3 linked regions of the Mytilus edulis genome follow. The protein of the gene in region 2 binds, or shares a complex with, the protein of the main gene of each other region. Links are inferred from orthologs where the notes say so. Each region holds a gene or a part of one and is shown on either strand. Other genes may lie near its edges.

Evidence for each region. The genes of interacting proteins can lie anywhere in the genome.
Region 1: splicing factor 3B subunit 3-like (region 2) and splicing factor 3B subunit 6-like share a complex: the UniProt entries of both Drosophila melanogaster proteins name them as parts of the splicing factor SF3B complex. The link is inferred for Mytilus edulis from reciprocal best matches to the Drosophila melanogaster genes Sf3b3 and Sf3b6.
Region 3: splicing factor 3B subunit 3-like (region 2) and microfibrillar-associated protein 1-like share a complex: the UniProt entries of both Drosophila melanogaster proteins name them as parts of the spliceosome B complex. The link is inferred for Mytilus edulis from reciprocal best matches to the Drosophila melanogaster genes Sf3b3 and Mfap1.

The regions. Positions count from the first base shown.
Region 1 is NC_092355.1:34,233,673-34,240,543, reverse strand, and holds the start of splicing factor 3B subunit 6-like, read left to right. Parts: upstream 1-3,859; 5' UTR 3,860-3,941; coding exon 3,942-3,968; intron 3,969-6,457; coding exon 6,458-6,576; intron 6,577-6,752; exon of another isoform or gene 6,753-6,871. UniProt on the Drosophila melanogaster protein: Involved in pre-mRNA splicing as a component of the splicing factor SF3B complex. SF3B complex is required for 'A' complex assembly formed by the stable binding of U2 snRNP to the branchpoint sequence (BPS) in pre-mRNA.
Region 2 is NC_092348.1:7,219,996-7,227,211, reverse strand, and holds the start of splicing factor 3B subunit 3-like, read left to right. Parts: upstream 1-4,187; 5' UTR 4,188-4,328; intron 4,329-5,378; 5' UTR 5,379-5,387; coding exon 5,388-5,613; intron 5,614-6,548; coding exon 6,549-6,625; intron 6,626-7,216. UniProt on the Drosophila melanogaster protein: Involved in pre-mRNA splicing as a component of the splicing factor SF3B complex, a constituent of the spliceosome. SF3B complex is required for 'A' complex assembly formed by the stable binding of U2 snRNP to the branchpoint sequence (BPS) in pre-mRNA.
Region 3 is NC_092350.1:92,500,323-92,508,279, reverse strand, and holds the start of microfibrillar-associated protein 1-like, read left to right. Parts: upstream 1-4,945; 5' UTR 4,946-5,175; coding exon 5,176-5,236; intron 5,237-7,957. UniProt on the Drosophila melanogaster protein: Required for pre-mRNA splicing.

The sequences.
Region 1 (6,871 bases), on a different chromosome or scaffold from region 2:
CACTTTAACTAAAGTTAGAGTGCGAAAACTAAAAGTATTCGGACGACGACGACGCAGACGACGACGCCAACGTGATAGCAATATACGACGAAAAATTTTGCGGTCGTATAAAAAATTGTATTGGTTATAATCGTTTTAATAATTTTAGAACTATTCAGAGTCTAAAGTGTCACTTTCACATTCTTTGAATCCTTTGTATACCCCATCCAACGATGGAAACTCTTTTCTAATTATGTTAACTACACAAGCCGGTAGGATTATTCTGTGTTTCTTGCCAAGTGGTTGACCTTTCCTGACCCAGCACACAAACTGACGATAAGCTGTAAGCTTGCTTTGCCTGTGAGTAAGTACGTCTGGAGATCTCCCTCTATGGCACTTGTACCTCAGGAAACTAATATAGCTTGTTTCAAGAACAACAGGGTTTAGACATACTATTCTAAAATCTGTATTTTCAGTGAAACATTCACCCAATTTCATTTTTTTTTATCAAATAGCATAAATTCGTGGCAGCAGAAACATTCCGCCGGCAATGGCATGACTATACAGTTTGTACATGAACATCAATTGACGTCTTTTTGTCTCGTATAAAAATTAGGTAGAAGTTATTCTTTAAAATTTGATAAGCTTGTGTATTTATAACGATGGTGATTCCATTATTGAAATTTCAGGTTATCATTCTTATTCAATTCCATTCCAGTTAGACAAAGTTGACATTTAAATTTTTCAGGCAACTTTTTTGAAATTTTCGTTCAAATAGCTGAAGAATTAGTACGTGGTGAGAATTAAATTATTTTGATAAGGACATTAATTCCTGAATATGTAAAAAAAAAAAGAAGATCGCTTTGAACGACCCAATTATATAATTGCAATTGGTAATTACTATCTATTTAAAAAATTCAAGGTCACCGATTCTTATTTTAAATTTTTAATTCATTTACTTTTGTTTATAAGGACATCATTATTCATAAATTTATTCAATTAAACTAATTCAGTATTTCTTTTTTTACAAAAAATATTCAGCGTCAATAATATATATTTAAACTGAGCTTATGGAAAATATTAAGATTCCCCACGTGTATCATTCATACGAAATGTTGTTCACACCTAGAAAAGTGAACCGTGACAGCTTAAATTTACTGAGTAAAGATCAAAAGATACAAAATGATAATCTTTTAATTAACTTGAATTTAACCACGCATTCAACAGGTAGTCACTATGTGTCAAAGTACAATACACATTGTATTTGCTGGGCCGTATTTGCACACTACAAATGTACTAGCAGGACATATATTTACTAGACAGACTGATGTAAAAGGTAAAAAGTACAAACATGCATTTTTAAAACACTATCAGTTAGGCCAGGATTTTTTAATTTGTTGGTTTACGGATCCGCCGACCCGATTTTGCCGATTTCCAAAATAAAAATAAAATCAAATTTTCAGGCTTTTTTTTATTCTCTCCGACCCTAACAAATGCAGTATCCCTGAAAAATAATTAAAATATCCTTTTTTATGAAATGAAATGCATTAATCACTAACAGAAGTGATGACACTTTCTGTTGTGAAAAATGAATCTTTCAGTTTACGTTTCTAAAAATAGACAAATCAATTATTAATGACCTTGAAATGTCGTTTGCGCAAATAATTTTGCGGAACGAAACCTGTGTTTAAAACAAATTACACAATGAGTTCGTTTCCCTTATTTGTCACCAGTCCGTAAGATGCATGTTCTCGTATAAATAGACTTGTCCAAATGTGGACAGGTGGAAGTTCAAGAAATCAAGTTAAAATACTGAATTTTAACAAATCATTTGATATTTTCTTGTTTTACAGATAATAAAAAAATATCGTCCATTTGGATAAAAAACGGGAATGCATAACAACAGATTATTTAACCTGATATTCTCGTTTTTTCCAGTGGACGAGTCTATTACGTTTTTGACACGTGTGTTGAAACTTATTTTCGTACGACGTTTTTACTTTTTTTCTTTATCAGTTTTGGTGCTTATTATTTTTCACCAAGTTTTGATTAAAAGCTAAGTCAAATAACTGACGTGAATCTGTTTTTCTTGTTTGTGAAATGACGATTTAATTTCGTCTTTGTCAGTGTACCCCCCCTTTTTTTACGGGAAATTATTAGACAATGTCATGCGATGTTTACAGCTGAGCAATAATATTTCATCAAACTAAAATTTAAGAACGATGAAAAATAGTATGACAAACATATTATTAGAAAGGTGAAATATATTTTTATTTTGCATATGGTTTTCTGTCTTGAAAGATCTTTTTTTTTCTTTTTTCCCGACCGACCGACCCGACTTTTTCATGGAGAAAATCCGTAAACCAACAAATTAAAAAACCGTGGCCTTATATATGTCTGTTCAAAATATCATCAAAATATTCTTTTATATGACTTACTTGTATCACTATAATCATTTCAGAAAATATTAAAATATAAATCGTACATTCTTATTTTAAGCTGATCACTATTCCATCTTAATTATTAGTTGGTTAATAGCTACACCAAACGTTGTCGATGCGCTTCAAATAGCGTTATAAGATGAATAACGATTAAGATTTACAATGAGATTATTTCAACTCCCGGCATGCAAGAAGACTTAAAACTACGTCACATAAGTCATGTAAGTCAGGAAGTTCAAAGAAATAAAATAAATAATTTTCAATTTTCTCCTTTATTGCTGTTCATATCCAGATAAATCTTGGTGAATATGTTGTTTATGGTACAATGAACAAAACTAGCTGATAAGTAAAAATTCGTGAATTATCCCTTTAAAATATGTTTGATTTAAAAAAAAATTCATACAGACTTCTTCCCCTTTCATAGTTAATGCCTGCCTCATATTTTTTCTGCTTCATGTTTACAGATTAGTGCTGCTGTTGTAGAAAGGTCAAGTTTTTTATGAGTAAGTTAGTAAGAAAATTATGTCCCTTAGAACAATGTAGAAACTTAATATACATGATACATTTGTATATAGGGTATAAATCAGAAAATTGCTTCAGATTCAATATGCAGTTTACTCATTTTATAGACCTCTATAACATGTTTTGAAAGCACTTTTTAATATCCCTTAGAAACTTTATATAGGGCTTAAATCCATGGGCGGATCCAGGGGGGCCAGGCCCCCCCCCTTTTCGTTAGAAAAATTTGGTTGATTAAATAAAGGGTACCACTGAAGCTTGACTGGAACAGGGGCCCCCTTCCTTAGGTCAGTCAGTGGACCCCCTTATGAAAAGTTCTGGATCCGCCACTGAAATGAAAAAATTGCTTCAGACTCAAAAAGTGATTTACTCATTTTATAGACCTCTTTAACATGTTTTAAAAGCGATTTTTAATGTTGCACTTCAATCTATGGCTATATTGAGAGTGCACAAATGTCCATAATGAGTCCGGATAAATATATGTACATTTCTACGTCTTATGTACACGTTGAAAGCTTTTTGCGTGTTGTTGACAGTTTTAGGAAGACCGGGCAGTTTTTCTATGATTTTGATTCGTGGCTCAACATTTAGAACATAATTTGGGTCTATACTGTTGAAAGACTGTGAACTAATGCCTACCAGCTGATTTGTCTGGGGTGTCACTGGTTGGAGTTGACATTTTCAGTCAGTATTTCTTTCCTACACCTGAGTGTGATTCACAGTGTTGCCGGAAGTTGCTAAATTGTCATTACGGGTGACGTCACATCGACGTATACTCTCTAGACTAAAAGAATAAAATTAGAAAATTGAAGACAATGTATTCAAGTTGTGATCATTTTTTATTCTTGACAAATTATGATACCTATAAATTAAATTACAAACTCAAACGTTATTCACTTTTATAAGCTAGTTTAATGACTATTTCAAGACGTTGCTCAAACGTTTTAAAAATGGAAATTGCATTCGGTACATAAAGCACTTTTACAGCCTTGAACAGCAAAAATGGCATTGAGCAGAAAAGGGGGAAATGTAAATTGTTTAAATCATTATCTGATCTTATGTTATTGGCTTTAAATTCTTTAGAAATGATTGAGTATATGTTTTCTAGCGCAATGATTCAAGACAACTGTGTTTACCTTAATTAAGAGCTTTATGAGGGAATAATTAATAAAAAAAAATACATGTTTATACCCCCTTGCCTTAGCAATAAGTAAAATATTTGTTTACCAAAACCATTGTTACAGTGTTAGGGTCAATTTTACTTGATTTAGAGTTGTACCATTTCATGAGTTAAGTCAAGAAAAAACCTTAAAAATTATGTTCAAAACACCAAAACGGCAAAAGGCAAATCCAGTATAATTTTAAGGTTGACTTTTGTGTCCATGTGCAGATGGGTATCAGGTCCGTTCGCGCCCAATACACTTTCTCACCCTACATGTTCGCACCTCGCACGTTCGAACCCAATTTAAAATCACAAATTCCAGTTGAATAATTGGAAAATCATGATTGTTGTTTTAAATTGCTTTGATTCAAATACTTTGATCTGAAACAATGAAAACAAAAAATGATAGCAATATACGAACCAAAACATGATTTTAAATTAATTCAGCACAAAAAAAAATGTTGTTGGAATCTCACTTTATTTTTGAAACAATGAAAACATTATAGCAATACACGAAATAAACCATGAGTAAGATTTATCCAACACCCCAAAAAAAACCGTCACAATCTCACTTTATTTCAGTAGAAACAATGATGTGTTTTTTTACAGCAAAAAAATTATTAATAAAGTAAGCAAATTTTTCAACAAACTTACCATATTCTGTTCAAATAATAAACTATTAATGCAACTACATGTACATGTATGCAACAATAAAACAAATAAAAAAAATGAGGGTGAATGGACCCTTGGCAAATAGATATTAGGGTGAACAGGTACTAGGCAGAACGTGAATCAAGGCAAACAGACCTAGATTCATCAAGAAGCAACAAAAAACTTAAGATAATTCTAATTCAACTATTATTTCAAATATATATATTACATGTATTAAGAATTGCCTAACAATGTAATTTTAACTTTTAATTGCGTTTATTTTCATTATTTTGTAAATATTTTAAACATTCTTATATTTACATACTAAATAGTGTGTTAAAATTAAATTGTTAGGCAATCTATAATTTTATTTGTGTAATTGAATTAATCTCTGTACTGATCAGGGCTCACACTACTTCAGAATTATAGGGAGAAGTGACTTCTCTTTTTGAAACTGATAGGGAGAAGTGGTGAGATTTGAAAGAGAAGTGCTCATTCGCGCTGTGCGATACAATGTTTGGATTTTACAATAGTATAAAGGGCCATATATGTAAATAATGTTTTTTTTATACTGTTCAATTCATATCTGAGTAAAAACATTACAATTAAAGTAACATTTGAAATTAAAAGTTGTTTAAGCTTGTGAGAAACTACCAACTAAATATCTAGCACTAAAAAAATAAAAAATATTTAAAAAAAATGTAAAGAAATTATAATATATCAATTACAATTTAATTAAAAATTATCTTGTGTATGACATTCAGTGTTTCTCATAAAAAAAATATAAAAGTTATTAAGCTGGGCCATAATATATTGATATTAGTATAATAGTCTCAGAGTTAAGTAACTTTAATCAATAGTTTGAAACAATCCATAAAAAATATAAGGAATTATATACACCAATCAATTAGATGTAACCAAAAGTCTCTTAATGCGTGTGGAATGCGTAATTTTTCCCTTTGGGATCAATATTCTTCTGTCAGCTGTTCCATCCGTGCGTCCGTAGTAATTATTGTAAAAGTACGGATTTCGGTCATAGCTGGTCCGGTTCAGATCCGTAGATTAGAAATCGGTCAATGGCGGACGAATGCAAGAAAATTTACAAAAATAAACGATGTTTGACAAGTTATTTGGAAAGAAACATGACGTTTTTAATGCAATAAATGGATTAAAATTTACTGGAGGCAACTTTTATCACGTTTAAATGAAGTAACAAACTTATTTTGCCGCCGAAATTGAGGTTGATGTACGTTTTCGAGTGAACAAGCACCGGTACTTGCAGAAATGCACGAAGTGATAAAAAGTTGTATTTTTATCAAATAACCTGCTACACACTGCGAAGACAATGCTTCAACCTCTTTTCAAAAGATAATGAATCGTTTATGTCTGAAATTCTTTAATTATCAATAAAAATTTGATGTTTCATCAACTTGGTAAAAATTGAAAATGTCCGATGACGGAAGCGACTGAAAGCGACTGTCGTCAAGAACAGGGCGACTTGTTTTCGCTTTTGGGGGTCGAGGAAAGCGAAGTGACGGTCGGGAAGGCGACTTCTTCGCCCAAGTCGCCTGGTAGCGTGAGCCCTGCTGATTGATCCACACTCCAATAGATTTGTATGGACATCATGTGCTGCTGTTTATAGGCACTTATTTATTAAAAAGATATTCATTAAAGGGGCAGTAATAAGGTGATTTTCATTATTCAGGTTCGGCTTCCACCAGAGGTCAACAGGATCCTGTATATCAGAAATCTGCCCTACAAAATAACAGCTGAAGAAATGTATGATATTTTTGGAAAGTATGGTGCTATACGACAAATAAGAGTGTAAGTATTAAAACAATGTTGACTTAGATCTATAACACGTATAATGTGTACTATTTCTATTCTGTCCGAAATTTCAAATCCTAGCCTTTTTTACCTAGATTATTTAATTCTTAAATTTTACAGCAATACAACAAAAAACCAAAATGACCTGGGATTCAGTAAACTTAGTATATACAGTCTTCGAATTTGGGCGGTAGTCCGAAGCCCGAGGCGTGTAAAATCATCGTCGGGCCTGTAAATCTTAATTTGTACGCGCCCGTTGGGCCTGTAGAAATTCCGTAGTGTTAATAACTTC
Region 2 (7,216 bases):
AGCAGCAACCCAACAACATGGTGTCGGATTCATCTGAAAATTTCAGGGCAGATCGATCTTGACTTGCAAAACAATTTAACCCTGTCTGAATTGCTCTTAATTCTTTGGTTTCAGAGTTATAAGCCAAAATCTACATTTTACCCCTATGTTCTATTTTTAGCCATGGTGGCCATCTTGGTTGGTTGGCAGAATCACTGCACACATTTTTTAAACAAGATACCTCAATGATAATTATGGCCAAGTATGGTTAAATTTGGACTAGTGGTTTTAGAGGAGAAGACTTTTGTAAAAGATTAGAAAAAAATACGAAAAATTGGTAAAAAATGACTTTTTTGTAGATCTTACTTTGCTGAACATTATTGCTGTTTGCAGTGTATTTCTATCTATAATAATATTCAAGATAATAACCAAAAAACGGTATAATTTTCCTTAAAATTGCCAATTCAGGGGCAGCAACCCAACAACCCTGATAAACAATTTTACCCCATGTCAGATTTGCTCTAAATGCAAATGGTTTCAGAGTTATAAGCCAAAACCTACATTTTACCCCTATGTTCTATTTTTAAACATGGCGGCCATCTTGGTTGGTTGGCCGAGTCACGCCACACATTTTTTAAACTAGATACCCCAATAATGATTGTTACCAAGTTTGGTTTAATTTGGCCCAGTAGTTTCAGAGGAGAAAATTTTTGTAAAAGCTAACGACGGACGCCGGACGCAAAGTGATAAGAAAAGCTCACTTGGCCCTTCGGGCCAGGTGAGCTAAAAATTACTTCAATCATTCCGCATCCTGATCAGCTTTCTCTTCAACTTTATGATTATGCCGCATGCCATGCAATAAGAATAAATGTGTATCTGTTTAAGTTTTTCTGAAAATTTCTGAGAATTTCTGAAAGAATATTAATACTGGACTGTCTGTCCGTCTGTTATCACACTTGTTAACACGGTCGATACTTCTTTAAACGATCTAAACCTTACCCGATGTACATGTTAAATTTTGGGAGGGGTAGGCATATTGATTTTAAAGGTCGAATGAAAAGATCAAGATATCTTAAAGTTGGTGTATTTCCTTCTTGAATAAGGGGAGATGTATCAACATTTAAGCAGTACATACGTGCGTATGGAATTTATAATTCAACATACTAGTTACTATAGAACGTTATCGGACCACAGATGAATTATCACGTTGTGATTGGTTAAACACCGTCACGTGGTGACCCCCTATTATAAGTTATATGGTTCCCTACTGACCCCCGTTGCGGCGTTTAACCAATCACAACGTGATAATTCATCTGTGGTCCGATAAGAGACCGTATGGGGTAAGTAAGTTTCATATGGGGTTCATGACGCGTTAATGGCGACGTCATCCATTAATGTTGTTGTTTATTTTTCAACAAAATGCCGCAGAAAAAGTCCAGCGTCCGATAAATTCGTTATACGGTTAACTACTGACTCCCTACGGATCCATAGAGGGTGAATAAAATGCATAGGGGACTCGGCCTCCGGCCTCACCTCCCTATGGATTTTACTAACCCTCTATGGATCCGTATGGGGTCAGTAGCGAACCATATAACTTATATTATCTATTTTATCGTAGACAAATCTTTGCCGGTTTTATAATCTTTTAATTTTTTTTACAAATGATTCTTTTTAAATTTCGTCTATGACCATGCATAAGGGAGGGTTTTTTTAATCTAGTAATCCTGTCGCCTGTTTTGTTCGCCTGAACCAAGTCCTGAAAATGTTGATACTGTGTATAGATATAATAATAAATAAATAAATAAGCTTTATTTAGAGTCAGCAAGGTATACAAACATAGACAAACATAAGCTCTAATGAGCTTTTAACCGACATACGAGACATGTTTAACAATACAACATTTATAACAATACAACCGCAAAATGCATAGCATAAAAATTTGAAAAATGGGGTATGATCTAGACGGTAAATAAATTTGCATAATATATAAACTAAAAGTCTGCGCAAACTATGCACTTACAGCCATTTCCATTCCATGATTTTAAAATATTTTTGAACTGACTAAAATTAGCATTTTTTCTAAAATCATCAGGTAGATCATTCCATTAAACAGCCTGTGTATTTAAAATAGTTCTTACCATAGGTTGATGTTCGGACCCTAGGTATATCTACAATATTGGAATATCTAAAAATAAAAATTATATTTACAATCTTTCAATACAACTGAATCATGTAAGCATGGTGGTGACAATTAATATAAAATTTTAAAACACTCAATAGCCATGTTATGCATGTACGTCTAATTTTCAGTGATGGAACCTTTGCTCGTAAAAGAAGTTCAGCATATAAACTAACATAGTCTTCATATATAAATTGTAAAGCCCTTTCCTGATTTTTTTCCAATTTGGTGGTGTTCTCTTTGTTGCAAAAATGCTATGCCATATGTTTTATTTCCAACTGCAATGGCTTGGAATTTGTCGGGATTTGCCTGCAAACAATTAAAACAAAACCAGTCAGTTAAAACAGCACTTTCTCTTTCAAGTGTACATAATAAATTTTCAAAATTGTTGTCTGCATATGACAGAGTATTATCATCGGCATAATTATATAATATAGGGTACCATGTTCAATAAAATAGAATATGTCATTTATAAAAAATATTAAATAATAGGGGCCCCAGGATTGAGCCTTGGGGTACCCCTTTCTGGATGTCAGCCCAACTGCTGAGTACTCCTTGAAGTTTGATTTGTTGCCTACGATCTGTAAGATAATTTTGAAGTAATTTCACTGATTTAGAAGAAAGACTGTAGGCAGATAATTTACTTAAAAGGATATAATGTGGTAAACAGTCAAAAGCTTTCGAAAGATCCATAAGAATAGCTGCCACATACATATTAATTATCCGGCCTCACACGGTGGAAATTATGCTTCGCCTTCATATTTGATTCCTTTTTAGTCGATCAGAGATTGTTGTTGTTTTTTTTGGGTTTTTTTTCTCCACCGTACAGAAAATGAGTTGATCGTTGTTTTTTTTCTTTCTAAATTTAAAAATGCCATTTTACTCTGTTGGAAGGTATCATTGTCACTCAAATAAATTGCAAGCATTAAATCTCTTAGTGATGATTAGTGAAGTATCGTATTATTTTTATTTTTTATTTTTGAAACGACCCCTCACATCTTACCTGTCGTAGTCGTGCTCAACTGTAGGTGTAGACAATTGTTAAAAAGGTCTATGAGTTGAGGGGCAAACAGATGATTTAGAGTCATAGAAATACAAGAAACTTTAAATATGAAATCATTATACCAATTAATATTTAGATATCCAACTAAAAATAAATTAAAAATATTTTTAATGAATGCATTATATTGTCCCACGAAAAACCTTTTTATTTAACTTTGAGTTCGGTCTTTTATTTACTATAATTTTAAACATAAGATATCGGTACATATATCATAAGTCAAATACCACTGCTTACCCTCTTGTAGGAGCAGAACCGAGGGGAAAACATACTTACCTTCTTTATAAACATTGCCAGAAAAGAGTGGGAATTATACACAGACAAATAGTTCTGGCTGACCATAGAGAAAATAACCTTAGCAATAGAGTGGGGAACACTATTTCTAAAACATCTGTAGTCATTACATAGAAAATTCTACGGGAAAGATTGATAGAAATTAAAAACAATGAATCATTCTGGAAAAACAAATGCCACAAACAAATTAAAAACACATCGTATGAAGATTTTCAAAACGGTCCACATAAACAAATCCGTAACATTTTATAAAGTGTAAAACACATCACACACACGAGAAGTCAAGACAGGAAAATTGAGTGCCTCTTTCTTGAATATCATGCACAAGAAACATTCTCACCTTTTGAGTATTATATTTGTGTCTCCCCATACATGCCATAGGAGAATATTTTTCTTTATAAATACAGGAAACCGTGAACTGAACTGGTATGCCATTCTTATCTGTATGATATTAAAAATAACCTTTAATGTCCTTACTTGTTCATAATATGAGTTTCCTTTATTATTTTTGGTTCTATTTTAAATCAAGCTTATTTTTTTAGCCCCAAAGGATCTTAATCCGTCCTACTAACTTAAATAAAAATACGTCCAGAAATCGACAATTTTGATGAACATTCAAAATATAGATTAGGACGTTGTCTTGATTTGCGATATTAAATCGCATTTGGGTTGTTGGTTTACAATGTCAACTGAACATTTCCGCTTCCGGAAACGCTAGGAAAATGCCGGCTTGATCACCATTCAAAGTTACAGTGAGCTTAATCCATTGAAATCAAATGCTTTTCTTATGCTGACATGTCATGATAAAGAAATAAGGTGCAAATAAGATAACATTCAATGATAACAAACCCGAATGAAAGCCCACAAATCTCTACAATACATTGCATTTCCTGTGTTTATACCACCCTTGTTCAGTGACATTTAGAACATACAAGAAAATAACTTGATATCATGTTCCTCATGATATCGGAGTATATCCTAATTCATTAATGTTTATTGTGCGGTATATGTCAACCATGTAAAGCTATTTTTGTCTATTATCGGGCTGCAAAAGCACCGAACACAACAAAAATATACCACAGAAAACCTTAAATTATATACAGTTTATGCATGTTTACTTTTATCAACAGCGCATTAAACGACGCATATGTAGAAAAGATAACGGTAACATGGGCTTTGATGAACAGCTCATACCTAGTTTAAATAAATTTTTATGTCCTTCCCCTGAAACTGAAAGTGAAAAGTTTGTCAGTAAAATTATGCATGCCAATCGCCATTTACCAGATAGAGGGAATTGCCTGTAAAGTTAGTCAAACAACTTCACGATCTGTATTATGCAGAATAACTAGAAATATTGTTAGTTCCACAGGTACTTAATCGTTCATAATGAAAGCAATGCTGATTATCAATTATGAAATTTAATTTGCCGATTGATTTGTGCAATACAGATTTGTATGTTTTCAACCACTTGCTCCACATGGGAAGGAAGTGACCCTGCCCCTAAATGCACAAACAATGTAGACAGTGAAAAAAGTACACAATTTAAAGCAAGAGCAACACTAACACCTTTAAACATGTTAAAACAAAACTAGGGGCGATCCAGAAGGGTAAGCAGATACTGCTCCACATGTAACGTACTATACGTAGGAAACTCTTCTCAAATGAGTAAGACCTTTGCAAAATAAAGGTTTTCACTTTTAGAGGAAGCAATCTACAATGCAGCAACACAGTTAAGTTTTTTAAAAATATTATCAACTAAAACTAATATTTTTCTCAGTTAGATATTTTCACAATCAGATTTTTACATAGGTCACATCGTGTTGAAAAAATCTTAGACATCTCACAACTGCTTTATCTGTATTTCAGGCTTGAAGAATGTATCTGTATAACTTAACTTTACAAAGAGCTACTGGTATTGCTCATGCAATCCATGGCAACTTTTCTGGAAGCAAGTTACAAGAAATAGTTGTATCCAGAGGCAAAATTTTGGAACTTCTAAAACATGACCCAAATACTGGAAAATGTTACCCTTTGTTGTCAACAGAAATATTTGGAACTATTAGAGCTCTTATTCCCTTCAGATTGACTGGTGGTTCTAAAGGTAAGTTAAATAACTGCTGAGGCCACAATTAAAAATATTTTGGTTTGCCCAAACACTATCCAAAGGTTGAGACAGTGGGTAGGTAGGTAGGCATTTTCTTTCTTTTTTTTCAAAAAAAGAAATTGAAGTATCGGGTGTTTATTAGTCTTCATGCCTATCTGATTAAAAAAAAAAAACTGCTTCAAATCAGGACAAGAAAAGAATTTGAGTAGGCAGCTTTTTTCTGGGTAGGTATATACGTAGGGTTTGGGCAAACAAACCTATTCTTTTTTATGGCCTGATGTATGGCTTTTTATAGATCTTCTTTTAGTTGTCCCTCCACCAATAAAAACTGGCTGCACCAAAATAGCCTAAATATATGGCTATGCAGTGCTCAAAGGTGGCATTTAAGCACCAGAAATCAAAATCCTTTAGTTGTCTTTTATACATTTATGTAGGACTCTTATAAAGTGCGATGGTTGATGTTTTTTTTTTAGTGCGATCAAATGACACGCTAAAGTGTGATGATATATAACATGCCGACAGATGCATTTTAAAATTATTTAATTCAATAAATTTATATCGGACACTTGAAACCGAAAATAACTAGACCAGTCTCAAAATTACCGGACATTTGCCAATGTCTGACTGACCTTTGAAATCACTGAGAGTGTAATTCAGTTTTTCTCACATACACAAAAAAAAATTCTATGAAAAAAATGTTTCCAAGGACAAACACTCAACAAAAACTTGTGGCCACCTATATGGTAGAGGTATTACAGAGAAGTCTGTCAGTATAGTTAATGATAGGTAGGGAATTGACTGATACTTAGTTAGGTAAATCAAGCTATTAACAACAAGCTACCATATATTTAATTTTGAAGTACTTAACATTTGCAAATTTACCTAAAAATTATTGTATACATGCCAATTTTTGAGTAAAATGATATTTTCAGATTACATTGTGGTTGGGTCCGACTCTGGAAGAATTACTATCTTGGAATATATACCTCAGAAGAATGTGTTTGAAAGGGTAGGTTTACAGCTGATAAAAAAATGTTTACCACATATTTGAATTTTCGTGTTTTAGAAAGAAAGGAACATCTGTATAATAAAACAAATTTGTGAGGGTTCCACAAACCAGTGTCTCGCCTACTGTTGCTGTAAATTACAGGCTCAACAAAAAGGAAAGAAAAAAATCAATAGAAATATTCCGCTTGATACTATCTTTTGATTGTAAGAAGCTTCTGTCCAAGTTTGGTAAAAATCCAGGATAGTTTATGAATTTTAAAAACTTTAACTGCAGACTGGATGTAATGTTAACTGGAAGAAAAACTAAGTCCATTTACAAGTAAAATACAGATACACAGGTACAAAATATTAACAAAATTTCCTTCTAGATACAAGCTTATGTCCACGTTTGGTACAAATTAAAAATAGTATAAGAAAGTTATCAAGATTTTTAAAAATTTTAACCACAGAGTGAATGTGTTGTTTCCTGGCAGAAAATCTAAGTCCATTTACAGTAAATTAAGGAAAAAATTAATTTATCGTTTTAAAAAATTTACTTCTGGATACTATCTTATGATCATAAACAAGCTTCTGTCCAAGTTTGGTACAAACC
Region 3 (7,957 bases), on a different chromosome or scaffold from region 2:
GCCTGGACGCTCTTTTACATCGCGATGACCGTGAGGGCATTCCGTTGCTTTGTTACCACAGAGATCTGACTTGCGTTTTTGACTAGTAATCGATCGTATAAATAACAATCCGTATCGCTTGTTATAAATTCATTTCTTCAATGAATACTAAAAAAAAATGTTTAGAAAACAAATGAATAAGATGTAAATGTCTGTTTACGTAAGAAATGTGTATATATTTTTTCTATATTTATACATTTAGATCGTTCAGTGCTGTTTATTTGGTATTTTTATTGACGTAATTGTTCTTGTACCATCATAACTGTCGTTGCCTTTAAAGCTTTAGAAGTGTGCACTTAACAAAAGATTCAGCACCCAAATGACGTTTTGAAGGACAGGAAAGCAGTTATTTATAAGGGGTTTATCTGATATAAGATTTATGCATGAGTTCGAATGAGAGAATTTTCCATCAAAGTAATAGTTTGTTTTAAGTAAACCATTATAGATCAAAGTAGGGCCTTAAACACGGAGCCTTGACTCTCAGCGAACACCACGCTATATAGGAACCAAAAAATAACTAGTGTTAAACCACTCAAACAGGAAAACCAACAGTCTAATTTGTATACAAAAAGGAGATTCAAAAAAGCACAGGCCAAATTTTGTCGAATCAATCTGAACGAGTACAGTATGATTCATCTTTGTCAAAAGTTAGTTTCATTGTTTTCAATAAAGAAAGTCTTCCATGCATGCGTTACGAGCATATCTGATATATATTATTTGGGTGCGTTCATTATAAATTTGCTAAATGTTATATATATGTGAACAATGATTTTGATACTTAGCTATTTGATTACGACATTGTTTATTAAACCCTATCGGTACTGGCGTTTTCAAATTTTGAAAATGGTGGATTGAACCTGGTTATATTGCGCTAAACCTGTCACGTGTATGACAGTATCATCAAATTCTGTCATATTTACAACGATGCATGAACAAAACAGACATAAGAGGTAAAATTGTCAAAATTTGGAGAAAGCAGTCAAATATTAATACTAATAATTACTATTATAGATATTACAAAAACACCGCTATGATATTTTAAAAGTATCGCATTGATATTTTAAAAGTATCGCATTGATATTTTAAAAGTACCGCATTGTTTATTTATGTATATAGGAAAAACACAGCACTTCAAATTTTTCACGGACATAAACTTTAGCTTCTAACTAACTTCTGAATGTATATTTAGACTCAATTGTTGTTTATATTTGAACAATAAGTTTTAAAGTTAGTATTTTCATAATTTTTCGTTGCCGAAAACAACATTTTCCGCATGGAATGTCTGCATATTTACAATTGATATTAGACAATATCGCTCATTGATATAAGAAAAGTTTTTATCGATACGCTTCTTCCATAGACTGATAATTGTAAATCATTTTTACGGTTGATGTGAGCTGCAAGGATTTAAAATCATACTTTATGGATTGAAAACACACAAGTATTTTTTATTCACGACCGTTTTAAATCTGAATATTTAATAAACTTGTATTACTTTCCGTTTTTATGGATCTATAATAATACAAAAAAAAATAATTATAATTACTCATAAAACCCAAATAACAAAATGGTATGAAATAAATAACGTAGAAATTTAAGGATTATTGTTTATAAACAATTTTTTTTTGTATGATGCAAGAATTTATTAAGATTTAATTTTTATGTTTCCTGTACAAATGAATATTTAAAAATACCAAAGCAGAGTATCTTGTCGTATAAAATGCTTATTTCTTAATTGCAACTCTGAAAACATTCTGATTTCAATCATTGTTAGGTTCTTCAGAAACATAAATACAGTATATATTTTATATATATGTCTTTGATTCGGATTGAATTAAATAAATTTGATAAGAATATTATCTTTCTGTTTTCCGATCTAATATTAATATTTTAACTAGAATGTTCTCTCTCGTAAATCTATGACTGAAATACACAGTATCCCGTGTTTCAATCTTCAAACATAATTAGTTTAATACATGTTATCGAGACAACAGACACTACCACGTTATAATTGATCTAGATACACACAGTGTACAGTTGTCGTTTTAAAACATAATTGCATCGTCAAGGGCCACCAAGAGACCACATCAAAGACTAAACTGGTCCGCCGTTCTATCTATAGCTTCGCACCAGTGTAGCGATAAGTGAACACAACAGGGGTCCAGTTTAATCAAAGACTTGATAACGACCTGTTAAGACCTATATAAATAACCGAAAACTTTCGAGACGTTCCGAGAAATTTATTCTGACTGCCGGCCGATAGATATCGGGTGGCCCATAGACACATCCAAAACTCGCCAATATATTAGCATGAACCCCCTGTTCATGCAAAAAGTTAAAAAGTATATTCAAACAAAACGCATTTGACTCACAGGTCGAACAACTGGTGTTCTTTAACCCTGCTGACTGCCATTGGCGATATATATATCCCTGCTTTCATGTCGATCCGGCCCACGGTGATTTCGACCATATTTAAAGTCGATCCGGCCCCAATAAAAATATATTTATAAAGAATAAAAATAAAAATATATATTAATTGTAATTCATAAATGTTTATGAATTTTATTATAATGCAAAAGGTGTACGGTAAAAGAAAATGGCATATTTGACGAATGTCTTCTTTACACGGGTATAAAACAACTAGGTTGATTATGTTTGCATTACAAGTTTTCAAACTTGTTTTTTTATCTACACACAACCAGAGACATATATTATGTCTCTGACACAGTATTCAAAATATTGTCAACTTAAAAAAAAATAATGACTATATTCGATATTACAAAAAACAACAAGTGTATGATATATTACAGTCCCTGATGTTACCTGAAAACAAATACATTATTATAAGACATAACATCAAACAAAAGATCAAACTATAAAGACCTTGTTGATTACGTAACTTCAATACGCATGGATATCCTTAAAATAAACTACTATCTGATTGTACATGTTAAACACGTGCTCAATATCCATACTTTTTTGTTGATTGTTGTCAAACAGGTGACAATCGTTAAACTTCGGCTTCAAAACGCGAACTTTAATTACCCGCCATATTTTCACAACAACACTGACCCATTGAAAATATAAATTGACGATTATACGAAAATTATGCGAAAAAAATGGTAAAATCGTGCTCAGAAGACTAAGTTTATGATGTTTGTATGCATTGGCCCAAGAATTGGAATAATATCATTTTTCACCGGTCACTCGTTACATATGACTTTAAATGGATAAAAATCGCCATGACATTCAAGGAAAATAACTTAATTTTGATATGCTGTTCAAAGTTGCTATACAAAAAGACACAATCATAACCATTTTGGTATCGACTTAAAATATTTCATCTTACTCCAATATATTCATACTTCTCTTACCTGTTGTCATCCATCATTCCAAATTCCATTTATACTGATTCATTCCTTATCATTTATTATGGGGCCGAATCGGTTTGGGACTGGATACCTATATAGCCATATTATGAAATGATGTGTCTGCAAATCTGTGGCCGAGCGGAGCGAGGTGAAATATTTTGTGATTATTTTACATGTATTATGCAGAAAATTATATTTTTTGGGACATTTTCCCTGTATGCATGTGTACTCTCATAGAATCCAACACTGGTTAGATTCTTGTTTAATTTCGAAATACCAAAAACTCGAAACCATCATCATTCAATTCATACCGTCTAATGTTTGATGTAAAAGTTTCACACCAAATCCTATCTTTGACATTTCAAAACCAGACCCATTACAGCGACACTTCTGAATATGAAACTTTGGAATATAGGAACCGAAGTGACCCTCCTTTCCCGGAATTTTAGCCTCCAAATGAGGCAATCTAATTAAAATATAGATCTCCGATTTCGTTATACTATGTTACTACATATGTGCAATCTAATTAAAATATAGATCTCCGTAGTATAACGAAATCGGAGATCTATATTTTAATTAGATTGCAAATGAGGTTTTTGATTACTTGTCTTAACGAATTGCATGCAGGAGATATAGAAATATAGGGCGTCCGTCCGTCCTGTCTTGTTGGCGCTATCATGTATACAATTATTGCTAGATTTTGGTGAAACTTATATCATCTTTGACACTTCAAATGTTTTTAATCCATTATGCTCCCTGTGAGCAAGGATCCCATGCAACTTTTTCTATAGGTGCCGAATTGACTTTTTAACACACCCTTTCCCCCATAGAGAGAAAACGACCAGACCATAAAATATTTTTTCCGAGTCGGTGATTTAATTCAAGGTATATATATTTGTGTGTGATCTAGACCTTACTGGTATATTTGTGAGTGATCTGAGACCTTACTGGTATATTTGTGAGTGGTCTAGACCTTACTGGTATATTTGTGAGTGATCTAGACCTTACTGGTATATTTGTGAGTGATCTAGACCTTACTGGTATATTAAGTCACTTGATTGATTATGATTTATTATTATATGTCTAAAATGAAAAACAAAATAATGATAAGTATATGAGGGAACATGCTTCAGTGTAACTCGAGACATATATACTACAAATGTATAAATGTCTCCAGTGTAAAATAATAATATATACATATGTATAGTTAAATTCAATTTTATTTATTGTCATTAAACAATTACAATGTTTGTGGCATTACAAGTTTAAAATAATAATAAACATCAAAACTTACAAAACGGAACAGTTTACAAAAAATAATAATAAAAAAAAAGTGATTAATTTACAATATTTAATGTTTAAATAACCATGTTACAATGCCCTTTGTTCAATATTTAGTTGAATCGTGTTTAAAAAAGATATTTGTTTCAAGGGGTGAAGCGAGCTAGGCAAATTAAAAACAAACCATATCTTTGGGTAAGACCATATTTTAGTATAAACCTTATTTTCCGGATACTGATTAGTTTTTACTTTTAGAAACAACGCTTATTCGAAACTACAGCATTATAGCTCTGTTTATTGGACGGTCATTTATGCGTTTTATAGAACAGAGTGATCTTATGTCCAAACAAAAAAATATTTAACCCAGAAAAAGAAAACGAAATACATTCTGTTACAAATTTACTCCAAAATTTTAACAATGCTGTTGTTCTTCTGAGTTCTCGAATGCTGTAAATCCGTTAGAAAATCAAGAAATTAAGTTGAGATGTCGAGCAATGTGCCGATCCAGTCGACTGCTGGAGCAGTCCCTTTAAAAAATGAAAAAGGCAAGTATATGGTGTAATTGGGTAAAAGACAATAAGACTGTATTGATAGGCTCAATATACAGAAGCCCATCAAATCAAAACTCATGTTTAAATATTATTGGACTTTTGAATGAAGCAGCTCGATTGTATAACAATATTTTAATAACGGGAGACTTTAATATGCGTGATATTGATTGGAACTTTTGGACTACGCCTCACTCTGAGGACCATTACGAACATACTTTTATTGAAGCTTTACGCGACAATTTTCTATATCAACATATAGATAAACCTACAAGATTTAGGGAAAATCAGATGTGTAGAACTCTAGATTTAGTTATTACAAAAGATGAAAGCAATATTGACAATATTAATATTGATGCTCCACTGGGACTTAGTGATCATGCTACCATTACATTTGACTTTTTGTACTCTTTCAATGAATATGAAACTGGTAAATCGAAATATAAATATTCCAAATGTGACTTCGAAAAATTTTCTGAAGACTTTAGCAATTTTGATTGGGATAGTTCTTTTGAAGATAAAGACATAAGCGAGATGTGGAAAATATTTTATGAAAAATATAAAAAATGTGTCGAAACGTATATACCGAAAACTAATCCTAAACCGGGTTGTCAACCTAAACCATTATGGCTAACATTTGATTGTCTGAGCAATATAAAACGCAAACAAAAGGCCTGGTCAAGATACTTGGCTACTAGACGAGCAGTAGATTTTGATTTTTATAAAGTTGCTAGAAACAGGGCAAATGAGAACGTTCGAAAAGCAAAAAAGGAATATGAGAAGTTAGTGGCATCAAAAGCTAAAACTGAGCCAAAACATTTTTGGACATATGTCAAAAGTAAAGTGAAATCAAAATCAGCAGTATCAAACCTCATGAAACCAAATGGGAACTTAACTACTTCCGACAAGGAAAAAGCGACTGTATTAAATGACTTTTTTACCAGTGTATTTACTGCTGAAAATCCAAATAATATACCTAATATTGAAGAGAGAAATTTTGAATCATCTTTAGACCACTTTGTGATCAATCAAGATACAGTTGAAAAATATCTACTTTTATTAAATGGAAGCAAGTCTATGGGTCCAGATAATATTCATCCGTTAATAGTAAAGAGTATGGCAAATACATTTTCAAAACCTTTGACTTTGATATTTCAAAAGTCCATTGACACTGGAAAAATTCCAAAAGAATGGAAAGATGCTAGAGTTACCCCACTTTTTAAGAATAAAGGTAGTAAACTGGATGCGGGAAATTACAGACCGGTCAGTCTAACTTCAATTGTTTGTAAAACTTTGGAAAAGGTTATACGGAAGGAAATGATTGATCATTTAATAACCAATAATTTGTTATCAGACTCACAGTTTGGTTTTCGCTCTGGAAGATCATGTATATTACAATTACTTGATGTCATGGAAGACTGGTCATTATATATGGATAATAATATATCCTGGGACACATTATATCTCGATTTTGCCAAAGCTTTCGATAAAGTGCCACATAAAAGATTACTAAAGAAACTGTATTCATACGGTATTCGTGGATCTATATTAGAATGGATAACTGACTTTTTAACTGGACGTCGACAACAAGTTGCGGTGAAAGGGGAAAAATCTGAATGGCAAAATGTAATTAGTGGAGTGCCCCAAGGCAGTGTACTTGGACCTGTTCTTTTCATTATATTCATAAATGATTTACCAGATGTTGTGGAGTCTATAGTAAAAATTTTCGCAGACGATACTAAAATTTATGCACCTACTTCTAAATCTGATGTCTTACAGAATGATCTAGATGCCCTCTACGATTGGTCCAAGTTATGGGACATGAAATTTAATGTGAACAAATGTAAACAAATCCATTATGGAAGAAATAATCCTGAAAATGTTTATACCATGAACAATATTGATATCATTAAAGATGAACAAGAAAAGGATCTTGGAATTATTTTTCAAAATGATCTTAAATTTTCTCAACATATATCAAGTAAAATAAATAAAGCCAATAGTATACTTGGGCTAATTAACCGAACTTTTATCTTTAAAGATCAATATACATTTTTAAGACTATACGTTGCGTTGGTACGACCACACGTGGAATATGGAAATACAATATGGTATCCGCATTTAAAGAAAGATATTAATGCTGTAGAAAAAGTGCAGATGAGAGCAACTAAATTAATTCCTGATATACGACATTTAAGCTATGAAGACAGATTAAAAGTACTTAAACTACCTTCCCTAACTCACAGAAGGCGAAGAGGTGATATGATACAAGCTTTCAAAATATTAAAAGGATTCGAAGATATATCTTATGAAAGATTTTTTACTGTCATCAGTACAAATACCCGTGGGCATAATTGGAAATTAGCAAAACCTAGATGTAACACTTCTTTTCGATTAAGACATTTCTCACAACGAATTATTAATGATTGGAATAACCTACCAGTTGAAGTTATTTCATCAAAAACTGTGGAAGCCTTTAAAATTAGTATAGACCGTCATTGGGAGTCAGTCATGTATCAGTTAAGAAATTGATGAGGACACAAATAGTTTTCTATATAACTTTTTAATTGTGTGAAATATTGCACCAAATCATGCAGGATTGATGATTGTATCAGTTTTGAAAGTGTACCAAAATAGGGTGGGCTAAAAAGGATAGGATCCTTCCATATGAGCCCCACAACGATCTTACAGGTATCTTACAGGTATACCCACAAATTA